Linked DNA regions of Struthio camelus. The protein of the gene in region 1 binds, or shares a complex with, the protein of each later gene. Links are inferred from orthologs where the notes say so. Each region holds a gene or a part of one and is shown in the gene's direction. Other genes may lie near its edges. The genes, in order: FBXL13, DRC3 and TCTE1.

Evidence for each region.
Region 2: FBXL13 (region 1) and DRC3 share a complex: the UniProt entries of both Homo sapiens proteins name them as parts of the nexin-dynein regulatory complex. The link is inferred for Struthio camelus from reciprocal best matches to the Homo sapiens genes FBXL13 and DRC3.
Region 3: FBXL13 (region 1) and TCTE1 share a complex: the UniProt entries of both Homo sapiens proteins name them as parts of the nexin-dynein regulatory complex. The link is inferred for Struthio camelus from reciprocal best matches to the Homo sapiens genes FBXL13 and DRC5.

What each region holds. Positions count from the first base shown.
Region 1 is NC_090942.1:14,258,602-14,262,814, reverse strand, and holds the start of FBXL13 (F-box and leucine-rich repeat protein 13), read left to right. Parts: upstream 1-1,246; 5' UTR 1,247-1,520; coding exon 1,521-1,595; intron 1,596-4,213. Other genes in the region: ARMC10 (armadillo repeat-containing protein 10), read right to left, coding at 110-255, 850-1,048. UniProt on the Homo sapiens protein: Substrate-recognition component of the SCF (SKP1-CUL1-F-box protein)-type E3 ubiquitin ligase complex.
Region 2 is NC_090956.1:3,769,215-3,773,427, reverse strand, and holds the start of DRC3 (dynein regulatory complex subunit 3), read left to right. Parts: upstream 1-1,918; 5' UTR 1,919-1,976; intron 1,977-2,647; 5' UTR 2,648-2,764; intron 2,765-3,514; 5' UTR 3,515-3,531; coding exon 3,532-3,688; intron 3,689-3,703; exon of another isoform or gene 3,704-4,068; coding exon of another isoform or gene 4,069-4,213. Other genes in the region: TOM1L2 (TOM1-like protein 2), read right to left, coding at 1,419-1,470. UniProt on the Homo sapiens protein: Component of the nexin-dynein regulatory complex (N-DRC) a key regulator of ciliary/flagellar motility which maintains the alignment and integrity of the distal axoneme and regulates microtubule sliding in motile axonemes.
Region 3 is NC_090944.1:104,557,321-104,561,533, reverse strand, and holds the start of TCTE1 (dynein regulatory complex subunit 5), read left to right. Parts: upstream 1-1,828; 5' UTR 1,829-2,092; coding exon 2,093-2,273; intron 2,274-4,213. UniProt on the Homo sapiens protein: Component of the nexin-dynein regulatory complex (N-DRC) a key regulator of ciliary/flagellar motility which maintains the alignment and integrity of the distal axoneme and regulates microtubule sliding in motile axonemes.

The sequences.
Region 1 (4,213 bases):
AAAATACCATTGCTCTCAGTCTTGTGCTACTCTTATGAAGAAGAGTGCCTCTCATTTTCCAAACTAACGGGTCCTGAGATACTATTGATTGCTATAAAACAATACTTACTTGATTTACGGAGAAGGCAGCGCTGTTGCTGAGAGTGATCAAAGTTTGCTCTTGAATTAATGGATCATCTGTGGACTGGAGCAAGTGGATAAGTTTCTGCAGATCATCAGCATCCATGGTATGGGGTGATGCCGTAGGACTGGTGTCTGTCAATGTTAAAAAATTAAATGAAATACCTGATATCAAGTTTGAGACATTTGCCTTAGTTACTACTTAATGTCTTTCACAGAGGTGACTTTCAGCTCTCGGTTGCAGGCCACAGTGATCCAAGATCTACTGTACCCAACCACCACGTTATGGCAAGAAGATTGTTTTACAACAGAAGCAGGATTTCAGTCCCTTCTCCTGAGCCTTACGACTTCTTTTCAAAGCAGAAAACACAAGCAACACTCGGCATATGTTATTCCTTGGTTAACCAACAGCAAACCTTTCTTTTAAAATTATTAGCAGTATTCCCCAAGCATGTAAATTTTCCCTCTGTTCTCTGCAATGAAACGTGGAAATCTGCCTGGGCACTGCAGGAAAAGAGACTGAAACGTCTCCCCTTGCTGACTGCTGCTTCCAGAACCTGGGGCTACACTCAGGGTCTCTGAAGACCAGAAAGCAAAGTCAGCGTTAATTACCACAATGCAAGAGCTAGCTCGAAAAACAAACAACAGTTGTTCTTCATCCTCCTCTGTCTCCTGACCAAGAACAACGCGGCTGCGCCCTCGGTGGGCTGCCCGCGCCTGGCGCCTCACCTGAGGGCGGGCCGCAGGGCGCCCGCCGCCCGGCCCCGGCCCCGGGCCCCGCCGAAGCGCCCGGTCTCGGCCGCGGCCTCGGGCCCCGCCGCCCGCCGCTCGCCGCCCGCCGCGACAGGCGGTAGCAGGCAGCGGCCGCCGCCAGCAGCAGGAGCCCCAGCGCGGCCGCCCGCAGCGCGGCGCCCCGCGCCTCCCCCATGCCGGGCCCCTCCGGCCCCCTCACGCCCTCATCACCGCCTCTCGGTGCCCGGGGCGGGAACGTCTAGCTGCGCAGCACTTCCTTACGCCGCCAGTGGCAGCGATGCCTGCTGCCTTTCCGTGTTAGCTCCGCTGCCCTTTCGGATACCTGCCTGCGGGCGGCTCGCAGGGGCGCTGCGCCTCCCGCCGGCCGCGCTCCGCCGGGCGGAGGTCCGAGCCCCGCGCCGCAGCCCGAGCGCTGGCGGCGCGGGCCCGGGAGGGCTCCCTGGGCCCGGCGTCGGTTCAGTGCTACAGACACGCCTCTCCCAGCCGCTTACAACGTGCAAGGCTTTCTCCCACGGGCTAACTGCCGGCCTACGCAGAAAGCCCTTTGCCGTGTGCAGCTGTGACTCCTGGAGCGGGGTAGAGCGGGGCCGGGGCCGGGCCGCAGGCCCGCGCGTTGCTAGGCGACCGCAGCCCGTCCCGGCGCCGCCATGTCGTCGCTCAGGGACGCGGACCCCGAGCTCCGAGCCTACTTCAGGCGCCACAACCTCCTCGGCGTCTACGAGGTAACGGCGGCCGCTGCCCGCCGCCGCCGCGCCGTGGCCGCGGAGGGGAGCGCGTCGCCCTGCGCACCCCGCGCCGCCCTCGCTGGCCGACGGCCTTCCTTCCGCCCGCTGAAGTCGGCGGGAGCGCAGACTTCCCCGTTAGCATCCATGGGCGGCAGGCGACGCCCTCCCTCAGGAACGTCCCCCTCAGGAATGTCCCCTCAGAACTGTCCCCCCTCAGGGATGTCCCCTCAGAAATGCCCCCCTCAGAAATGGCGCTGCCACCCTGCCCCGGTACTGGCCGCGGAGCCCGCGACCCCTAATGCTGCTGGGTGTCGGGCTGATTTTTGCTCTTGGCCTTCTGTTAATAGCATTCTTCAAACAATTTATGAAGACTTTAAACTGGGAAAGTTAGGTGGAACAAGACAATTCTACATCCTGATCTGTGTTTAAACTGAAAGTATGACCAGAATGAAGACAAAAGAGTGAACTGCTTTGGCACCTTCGCTATATTTGCCTAAGTTCCTTAGTTTTGATTGTAGAAATACTTTTAATTTTAGATTTCAGGTGGAAAGCTGAGTGTGTTCAGGAGCTAGATACTCTGTTTTGAGCATTGCAGATGCAATCTATAGTTTTTTGTGGCCTGTAGTCCTGTCAAAGGTGAAGATGGCCATGGACCACGTTTCAGACTTTGGTGCGTGGGGTATCGATGGGACCAGGTGTGAATATGCTTTCATGAAATGCGAGAGAGTAAAACTATGGGACGTTGTGAAGGACTGGGGGGCAAACAAAGTTTGGTTTTGGCATTCGGTTTATTATCCAATTCCCTCTTCCATTGCTGTGATTTCCTCCTTTTTTACTTCTGTCACATTTACCTCTGTCAGGTTCAAAAAAATCGGCTGTGTTTCAGTTTCATTAGCACAATGGACAATGCCTAAAGAAAAGTTTTAAGAGACATCCTGGTATTTTTAAGCTACCAAAAGTAGACCCAACTTGCAAGCAGCTGTCGCAGCCAGGATTTCCGTGGAAACATTAATAGAGAAATCTTGAACCAATTAGTATAATTACAGAGCAGCACCGCCAAGCAGACTATGAGCGAATACTTCTCACGAGAATCCCTCTCTTGATTGATCTGTGTTTTTTTCAGTACAGTAAAACAAAAGACAAGGTGTAACTGCGTAAGGGGTATATCTTGATTTCAGCGCTTCAAAAATAGCTCATGTTTACATTTCCAAGCAAAAGCTTTAAATTCCTTTAGAGTAACAGTGGCATTAAATTAATAACTAAAAATGAAAGAATCGAAGTTGAGATTAAAGGGAATTTCTTAAAGGAAGAAACTAGTTACAAAATTAGCCTATTTAAGATGTTTTAAAAGACCATTTATAAAGGTCTTTTACTTTTTTTTTCTAATTTAAGGATTGATGCCTCCCAATATCTGTATTTTTAATTTGTTGCTTTATTATATTTTTATTGGTTTATAAAGTCACAGTATGCTTGTGAGATAATAAATGAGATGATACTGGTCCCAATATGAAGGAACATAACAGCTAAGCCCAAACCCATGGATATTTATGTATATACTGTTGAAAGAATAGTTGCAGTTCTAAAATGGCTGCTTGCTGAGGGCTTTGTATGACTGGGTTGTGGTTTGAACGTGCTCCAAACGGAGTAGTCATGTCCAGATAATTTGGGATTCCCTACTGCATCTGTTTCTTTCATTCCCATCTGATTTTTCTCTTTCGAGTCTCATGCAGATTCACTTTTGAACGTCATGCGTGGAAAAGTAAACTGTAATCCTGCAGACACTTTGGATATAATGCCTTTCAGTGTTAAGACACTGTTATGTCCTGTCCATTCAATATTAAAATTAAATGCGGGCGCAGAGCTGGCTCAAAATTTTTCTGCCATATGGCCCAATTGAATTGTGCCATGATGGATGAATGACTACGGTGATGGGAAGAGGAATGGGAGGGTCCAGGAGCATGGCTGGAACAGTGACGCCTCTGAGAGATCTCTGGCTTTATGCTCTTTCTAATGTTAGTGGAAGGCAGTAGCTGACAGCCCCTCTTGGCCACATTAGCCTTTTTGCATAGCCTCTTCTTTCCCCCCTTCCCCTCACAGGAAGAGCAGCAGTAGACCAGACTTTCTAGGTGTCCAGAACAGACAAAGTTGACAACCATTTTGTCACACTTTTGCATCAGTTTTGTTACCGTTGGTGATCTGCTGTTTTAGACTGCTGTCTACTTTGCAAGAACTCGTCTTGGGCGTGCAGACTTTTACTGTGTTTACTAAACTGCATCTGGTTTAGAATGTAGTCCCTTATTGCAGGTAAATATGAAATAATAATATTTAATATTTATAATACTGCATTGACGTTTAAGCAAGGTGTTATGAACTATTTAAAACGTGTGAACGATAGTGTAATCAGAATATATAATAACACATCTTCAACACTGCAAATATGAGGCTGTGAAAAAACATATTTTCAGCAACAAGTCAAAATAGCAAAATTCATATCTTTGTACATTTTTTAATATATTGATCTCACATACTACTTTTTGTAATAGTCTCCTCATCATAATGGTTAGAAACCTAAGTAGTCATTCAGGGTACTATGTTGTGCTAGGTGCTGCACATTT
Region 2 (4,213 bases), on another chromosome or scaffold:
TACAATAGCATTCAACTGAACATCGCTTTGGCTTCTGGGAGTGTATGCCAAGGCTTCTGTGCTGCAGGAACCTGAGCCAGACTATTGTTCTTTCCCACCGAAAAGTGGGAGATCTTGTATTTCTTTGGGGCCTAAAAGCAGAAAGCGGGAGGGAATGACAGCTCATGCAGCTGTGGGCAACTTATTAACCTCTGCAAAAGCAGAGTCTGGGCTTTCTCCCATGGTCCCAGCTGTGACAGCCCAGATCAAAACCAGACTTGCCACAGATGAGAATGAACGTATGTGTAGGAGGGAAGGAGTAGACATAGCAACCCCGTAAGGGCTTGGCTAATTTTACAGTGACAATATACTCAAAACAATCTGCCTAATGTTAACAGATCATTAGCAAAACAACAATTCAAGCTCTGGGCTGAAGACTGAGCAGGTGCTTATACCTCTAAACCTCGTCACCTTCCCTACATATGCACAGGTCCTTAGAGGTTTCAACACTTTGGGAACAGGACGGCTGAGGCTGAAGAACATAACAATTCTGTAACAAGGCGCTCACATGCAGGGAAGGGAGCTGGAGGAAGCACACAACTTTCCTTCATCCATCAACTGTCTTGAAGTGGAGTAGCTCCTTCCTCATAGCAACCAGAAGCCCAGAACCCTGGCCTAACCCCAAAACTGCTAACCCCTGAACCCTCTGTCACCCACAGAGCCCTCCACTAACCCCCAGAGATAAACACTGAGTCCTCAGAGCCCCTCAAGAAGCCCTAGAGCACCCACACATCCTGATAGCTCCCCATTACCTCCACAGACCCCACCAATCCCCAGAGATCCACCCTACCTCCAGAAACCCTGCACTACCTCCACAGACCCCACCAATCCCCAGAGATCCGCCCTACCTCCAGAAACCCTGCACTACCTCCACAGACCTCACCAATCCCCAGAGATCCGCCCTACCTCCAGAAACCTCCCACTACTCCACAGCCCCCTATTAACACCCACAGGCCTCTCACTGCCTCCAGAGATCCCCATTAACTCCTGCAGATCCCCCATTAGCTCCAGAGTCCCCTGTTGATGCCACAGTTGTCCTTCTGCCTCCAGAGTCTCCCATTAACCCCCACAGATCCTCCCACTGCCCTCAGAGACCCCGATTAATGTCCAGAGGCCCTCCACTGCCTTCAGAGCCCCCTATTAATCCCCTTAGTTCCCCTACTGCCTCCAGAGACCCCCATTAACCCCCACAGAAGGCCCCATCGCCTCCAGAGACCCCCATCAACGCCCGGAGATCCCCATTACCTCAAGCCCCCCTCCCTGCAGCAATCCCCCAAAACCCCCACAGGCCCTCACCACCCCCAGTGTCCCCAGTAACCCTCAGAGCCTCCTCCAACTTCCCCCGCCCCGAGCTCCCAGCGGCCTCCAGCCGGCCTTACCGAGGCTCTGCCCCACCGGGGTGCTGAACGGGTTCCCCAGCAGAAACTCCATCTTGGGATGACAACAAACAGCGGCCCGGCGGCCCCCCCTCCCCCACCCCGCCCTGACTGGCACCCGCCCCCACCAACCGCAGCATACCCTGCCAGGCGAGGCCCGCCTCCTTGCATCCGATTGGGCCGAGACTGCACTCCCCGTGGTCTCACAGGTTAAAGAGCGTGTCCATCACTGTCAAGTGAAGGACCCGCCCCGTCGGTAATCCACGCCCTCCAGTTGATCGACAGCAGGGATATCGCTATAGGCATTCACCATTGGGCAACTGCCAAACCGTTCTCTAAGACTATTGGGCAAGTTCCACGTCAATCACAAGTGCTTCCTCCCGCCCCAAGGGCACGGTGCCCGCTCTGATTGGCTGACACCGTTTTCTCGCGCTCTGATTGCTAGACAGCCTTCCCACCCACTCCCTGACCATTGGCGGCTCAGCTTGTCACGTGGCCTTGCTTAGCAACGGGCCTGGGCTTCCGTAGCAGTCGGCTTGGAGGCCTGGGGCTGAGGCGCAGGTGGGAGCGGGGCGGTGGAGGGGGCCAGGCCGGGGGCCTGGGGCGCCGCAGAGGTCGGGGGGCCGGGGGCTTGGAGGACCGGGGCCTGGAGGCCGGGCAGCCGTGGGGCTGAGGCCCCAGGACGGCTTGGGATGGGGCCTGGGGAGGCCAAGGGGCCTGGGGTCTCTGGTCCCTGCAGGCAGCCACAGCGGCCAGCAGCCCCCTTCTCAGGGGGAAGGAGGGGAGCCCGCCTGGGTTAGTGTCACCTGGATAGGGAGGGTGAGAGGCACCGTCCTGGGCCCTGCAGCGCCTGGGGGTGTTGGGGGATGCGGAGTTGCTTCCCAGGCCTGGGCTTGTGCCGATGGTGAGCAGCAGCACCTTGTCTGGGTGATGCATCCACTGCTCTCATTTCCGCAGTGCCCAGATTGCTCCTGCAGAGTGTCAGCAGGCTGCAGACCTTGACGGTTTGGTTAGATCTGTGGCACTAACATTAGCTAAAGAGATGACAGACAAATGCAAGGAAAAGGCAGTGGAAAGTCCAGCAGGTCACAGATGAATGAATCCATGATGTGCTGCTATTCCTTGGGCTGTGTTGAACATGGTCATATAGAGAGTTGGTTTGTTACTTAAAAGCATGGTTAGGATGGAATTATCTAAATTCAAGCATTTCTCATTCCTGTGCTCCTATGCAGAGAAATCAGCCAAACTTTTTCCATGAAGTGAAGGTTTGAAGATTCAGGTCCTTCATACTGAGTCTGTGCGCAGTTCCAGAAAGACAAGCAGCCTCATTGCCTCCAGGGAAACGTTAGGTATATTTAAATAACAAAGCAAGGGCAGAGAGTTAGGAATTGTGGATTTCCTAAATCAGTTGTCAGAGTGAACGTATAAGTGTTCAATGCTATATATTGACTGAAATACACTGCCTCGGTCAGATGACCCTTACTGTGGATCTCTATTCAGTGTTTGCTTTAGCGAATCATTGCTATTGTTTATAAGTTTTCCTCCTTCCCCAAATTTGTTTTTATTTTCATTATGAAATCAGTGTTTAAAATTTAGCAAACTGCTGTTACTAACATATGGTCTCTTACTCTATAAATCAAACCTTCCTATAATGGTAAACTTGCCTTTCAAAACTAGATTTATGTGGTATACAGAGCCTTGAATAGGCCATTTCCATAAAGATGGATTTCAGCAACAAGTGACTGCCATGTGAAGGATCCTTCCGTACAAAACACTCGTTGTTTATAGGGCACAGGGCCTCCTTTAGCTGTTCTGTTTATCTGGCCAAATATTTACATTCTTTATGGAAAACTCTCAAATATGGTGTGAAGTTTGCCTGTTGTAACCTGCTAAAGTTGCCTGCCTGTACGGTTGTGCTCAGCGTAGCATCAGTGACTTTGTGGTAAAAGTAAAATACCTCTTTGATATCATCCGTGAGGTATTAAATCCTCTCAATACCCAGCTATGTTTTTGTTATCTTTGGAACTGTTATGCCATTTCAATAAATTTTGGAAATGGTAGCCAGGCAGTGGCTTTATTTATTTATTTTTTCTTTTAAGGCGCTTATCATCTAAAAATGAGTCAATTATACAATATCATTGAGCCAAATGTGATCAGCGAAGAAATGGTTCAGAAAGCTGTGGAAGAGCAAAGTCAAGATGAGGCAGGGCAGCTTGCCAAAAGGGAAGGTATTAGTTTTAAAGACGTCACAGAGCTACAGTTCAGTTTTAGAAGTGAGTATCAGAATATATATATTATATGTTTATTTATTAGAGGGTAGAAGAATTAAGCATTGAGTGGCTAACTGGCAATTATGTAATCATGATTAGCTTGGATTTGGTATATGAATAGTAAGGGACTGGACTTACATTTTTAGTCATACTTGTATGAAGTAGTTTCAGTAGAGAGAGCTGGGGGGCTTTGCTGATTGATAACTTTAAAGCTGCTTAACTTTGTGCTATTATTGTCACTGCCGTTCTTATTTAACATTTATATTGTGGTGACACCTACAGGCCATAGGCCTGTTGGGCCCTTTTATATGTGGACAAATCAAATGCTGGCCAAGCTGTTAGTGACCATCGCTGGCTATTACGTGAGGGCTATTTGGTAGCTTATGGCGATGACAGTTCAATTCAGTGGCCTCCCCTGGCCACCCATAGCATTAGGCCACCTTGCCTTTTACTGTCAAACCAGACATAAACTTGCATTCAAAAAACAAAAAAAAAAAGAAAAAAGAAAAAGAAGAACATCTGGCTCAC
Region 3 (4,213 bases), on another chromosome or scaffold:
CTGCCTGCCTCAGCGTCCTTCATCCTCCTGCTTTGTGATGGAGGAACCCCTGCCACTGCCATCTCCCTCATCCTTATTTCCTGACTCTCATTCTGAAAAGATCATTCTTTTCTAGGATCTGCTGAAAATGCATTTAAAGAAGCCTTTGCTGACACACTTGCTGCAGTAGATATGAATCATTTTGCTTTGCTCTTCTAGTTCCTGGCATGTCACAGATCTTTTGCACATTCCTTTGTAGGCCCTTTCATCGGATGTCTTTTGGAGGGGGAAGGAGCAAAGGGAGGAAAGCTAGCAAAGCCTACTACAAAGCTTTCGGGAAAAGAGGGGCTTGTGCCGACTGAGGCAGCACAAACTGGGACTTCAGGGGAAAAGGAAGCAGCCTCATGCAAGGGAAGAAAATGAGGCATTTGATCTGGGGAGCACCATCTGGCTCTTGCCCTCCGTAAAGGAGGAGCTGTTTGCAATCAAAGCACTGTTCATCTGAGGGATATTGTGGCACAACACACTACATGGCTATCAGCCTCTGTGTAGGATGTTGTCACAGGATCCTTCGACTCTATCATGGTGCAGGGCCCCCTCTGCCCCAAGGCTTCCCCTTGGTCTTGTAGGAAGCTGCCCTTGCCTCTGGCACTGCCAGCAATGCAATCTCAGCTAGAGCATAACTAGACTCAAGAAGAATTTCCCCTACGCTTGCAAACTCTCCAGTTAACAGGGCCTTTACAGTCATTCAGTTTCAACAGCCTGGTGCTGTTTTCACATGCCCTGGAATCTCTAACTATCCTTCTCCCTTTCAAGCAGCTCCCTTGAAATTCAGTTCCTCATAATGACTCTCTTGTTCTTATGAGCCTCTTTCCTCTCCCACTAAACTGTAGCCCTGTTATGTCCAGTTACCCCCAATACATATTTAGCATAGGTCTGGGCACCTTGCGACAGGCTTGCCAAGCCTGGGCAACGCTGTCGAATCCAGGACCCAGAAGGCAGAAGAAGAGCCTTCTGCTTCCTGGTGTCTCCTCTGACTCTTTCAGACTGGTGGGGTTGGTGAGGGAACCATTAGGACTTCCAGACAATAATCATACATGTCCGATAATGAAGGCTGAGAGTGCTGGTCCTGAGGTAGGGGTAGGAAATAGCAAAAGGGAAGATCTAGTCTGGGAAAGCTTTGCAGAGCTAACAGGACTTGGGCATCCTGCCTTCTGCTCTAGCCTGGTTCTTTTAGCTCATATCTGCTTATCTTCAATGTGGGTCTGAATAGAACTGACCCACCTCATCAGTTAATGGATGTTTGGAAGGAGTTCAGCTGGTAATTAATTGTGAAAGGCGGAAAAAAATGAATATATGTATAGTAAGCATCTATCTTTACAGAGTCATAAGAGCAGGCATATTGGAACAAATGTGGATTATCTGGCCCAGTATCCCATTTCTCACAGTGACCAGATGCAAGTATACATGTTGCTTCCCTCCAGCATTCTCCCCACCTCCGACCATTTTCAACTCATACCGAGCCAGATGTAGTTTCTGTGTGTTTAATCATTCTCAAAGGGGTTTATCTTCCATGAACTTGTCCAGTCTCTACTGAAACCGCCACAGATTTTCAACATCCACAATATCCTGTGGCAAGAAACTCCCCAGCGTAACTACAGATGGTGTGAAGAACCATCTCTTTTCTGTGTTTTGAACCCAGCTCCTGCCACCTTCACTTAAGGCCCTTATTTCTTTTATTGGAAAAGACAGTAAGCAACCCTTTCCTGTCCTCCCTCTTCAATAGCACTTTGAATTAACACCACATTATTATCTGTTTATTACATGTAGCACCTAGAGATGTCTTTGTGCTGGGCACTATACAAAGATAAGGCTAAATAATAGTCGCTGTGCTGCAGTGCTCCCAGTCCAAGAAAAGGCAAAAGCAGGCAAAGGGCAGGGGAAAAGTGCATCACAAAAGAGTAATGTGAGCAAAGTATTCTTATTGCTTGGCCTTTTACTAAAATTATCTTTTTCTGTTCCAGGCAGTCCAGTTGGAAAACGTGGTGGTGACTTCTGATCTCAAGCAATTTTTCTCCAGCTTCTCCTGAAGGAGAAGTGGGACCTGAGCAGGATGCAGGAGCCAGTGGCTGGTGATGTGAGCACAGCCCTTCCCACATTCCCATCCCAGGCCAGCTTCGCTGCTGATTCATCCTGTATACAGCGCATCATTGCTGAGGATCCTGAGTGGTCCCTCGTCATTGTCCCACAGCTCACCGAGCTCTGCCTCCAGCACATCATTCGAAATTTTGAAAGTAAGCAGGAGTGCCTCTCGCCTGGGACACACAGAGAGACAGCATCTCTTTTGGGAAGCAGGGGGTCAACAGAGCAGGCAGATGCATCTGAAAGTCACAGAGGGTGGTACCCAGCCCTGCCAGAGAAACAGATGGGGAAAAACATCTCCTCAAGCAGCTAGTTAAGCAAGCTATTTAGTTGCTAAGCATGTACTTGCACACTCCAGGGACACTCCAGAGGACATTAGTCCTCTGGGCTGCTATCCAGGATGTGACTCTGCCCTAACCTTGTCCTATCATTTCTTCTTCCTTCCATGGTCTGCTGGACTCACTACCTCAACTGTGACCAGGACTGTGAAGCTGCTATTTCCTTCTCTTGATTCATACATACATTATGGTAGTACTCAAGGATAGAGCTCCCATTGTGCTGAGTGCTGTACAAAGAGATGTAGAAATACTCCCTGCTCCAAAGAACCCTCATCTCAGAATTCATATTGTACTCACAGTTTCAGGCCTTCTCCACAGCTTTTGGTGGTGATGTGATAAGTCATGTCCCCAGGCAGGGAAAGTGCTTTTGAGGCAGGTGGACTGATGAAACACATAGAAAAACATAGAAAGGGTGTCTCATCTGGGAAGCGAGTGGGAGGAGGAAAGACAGGACCTACCTGTGTTTTTGGCTGACTTAGTGGAGTTGTAGCAAAAACCAAAGATAGGTATAAGGGTATGTTCACACTGGAACTATAATACAGTATAGAGAAGCTCAGCGCTGCCTTAGGTCCCAGCTGGGAGACCTTCCAAGTCCTTTCAGTTTGATCAGTCAGCCTGATGCCAAACGGATTGGACCGACAGTGCATGCATGTAAGTGTGCTCAGTCTCTTGGAGTCCCTCATACCAGCGTCTGACCTGTGCAGCTGCATCTTGCCCACTGCTGTTGCCTGAGTGAGCCAGACTGAAGCTAGTCTACTTATGCCAACATGTGTCTCACCTCTGCTTGCATTGTGAGCCTTTGCAGAGAAGGTCACTGCAGTGCCAGCTCTCTTATTGGAGAAGAGACTCCGGGAAGAGCCTCTGGTAAAACTCTGCACGTCCTTAGGAAGAAAATGCCCCAGAGAGAGAAAAAATATAAGACTAACCCCACTTTGTGTCTAAGAATTTGACTTCCCATGTGCAGACAGGCCTCTCCACTGATAAGGTCTGTGATTCAACACATACATGTACCTGTCACCAAGTATTCATGGTGTATATACACATTGCTTTTCTCTGGTATCTCTTACCACAAAGAACTTCCACCAGAGAAAAGTCAGCTGACACTCAAAGCAAGGGACTGAGGAGAGAAAGCTCCTGGGAAAGGAGAACCCTTATTTAAATAGGGTGGATCTGAAGGCTAAGATAAAGTGCGTCTTAGTGGGAAGGAATCAGGAATCAGTTTGGAGTAAGACAGACACCTGAGTTAAGATGAAAAGACGAGGACTTGTATGAAAAGCAAACAGACAGTTCACTTCTCAAATATCATCCTTTAATACGGTTAGAATCCACAGGGGAAAAGTTCAGCAAATGACAAGTCAAATTCTGCCATTACTGTAAGCCTAGAATAGTTGTGTTAGTGGCAGCAGTCTTTCTCTGAACATAAACTGAATTAAAACCAAAGTTAAACTGATGATCTGGATTTAGAGTGCTGGAAAGCAGATCCTTTCAAGATCTATTCAAAACTATATGCAAATTCCCAACTACAGGTCAATAACTTTAGTCAGGACCTTGTTTGTGGTACCCAACTTTGGTGGTTGCAGAGACAGGAGCTAAGTTCCTGATGCGGTCTCCAAATATTATGAGAGTAAATTCAATTACGGTGATATTTTACAGTAAAAGATAGAAATCCTACACAAAAATGAGTCATTTTCTGCCAGCTTAGTTCCCTGCACCGACTAAAGGTAACTGAGAAGGGAGCCAGTATCAGTAGAGGG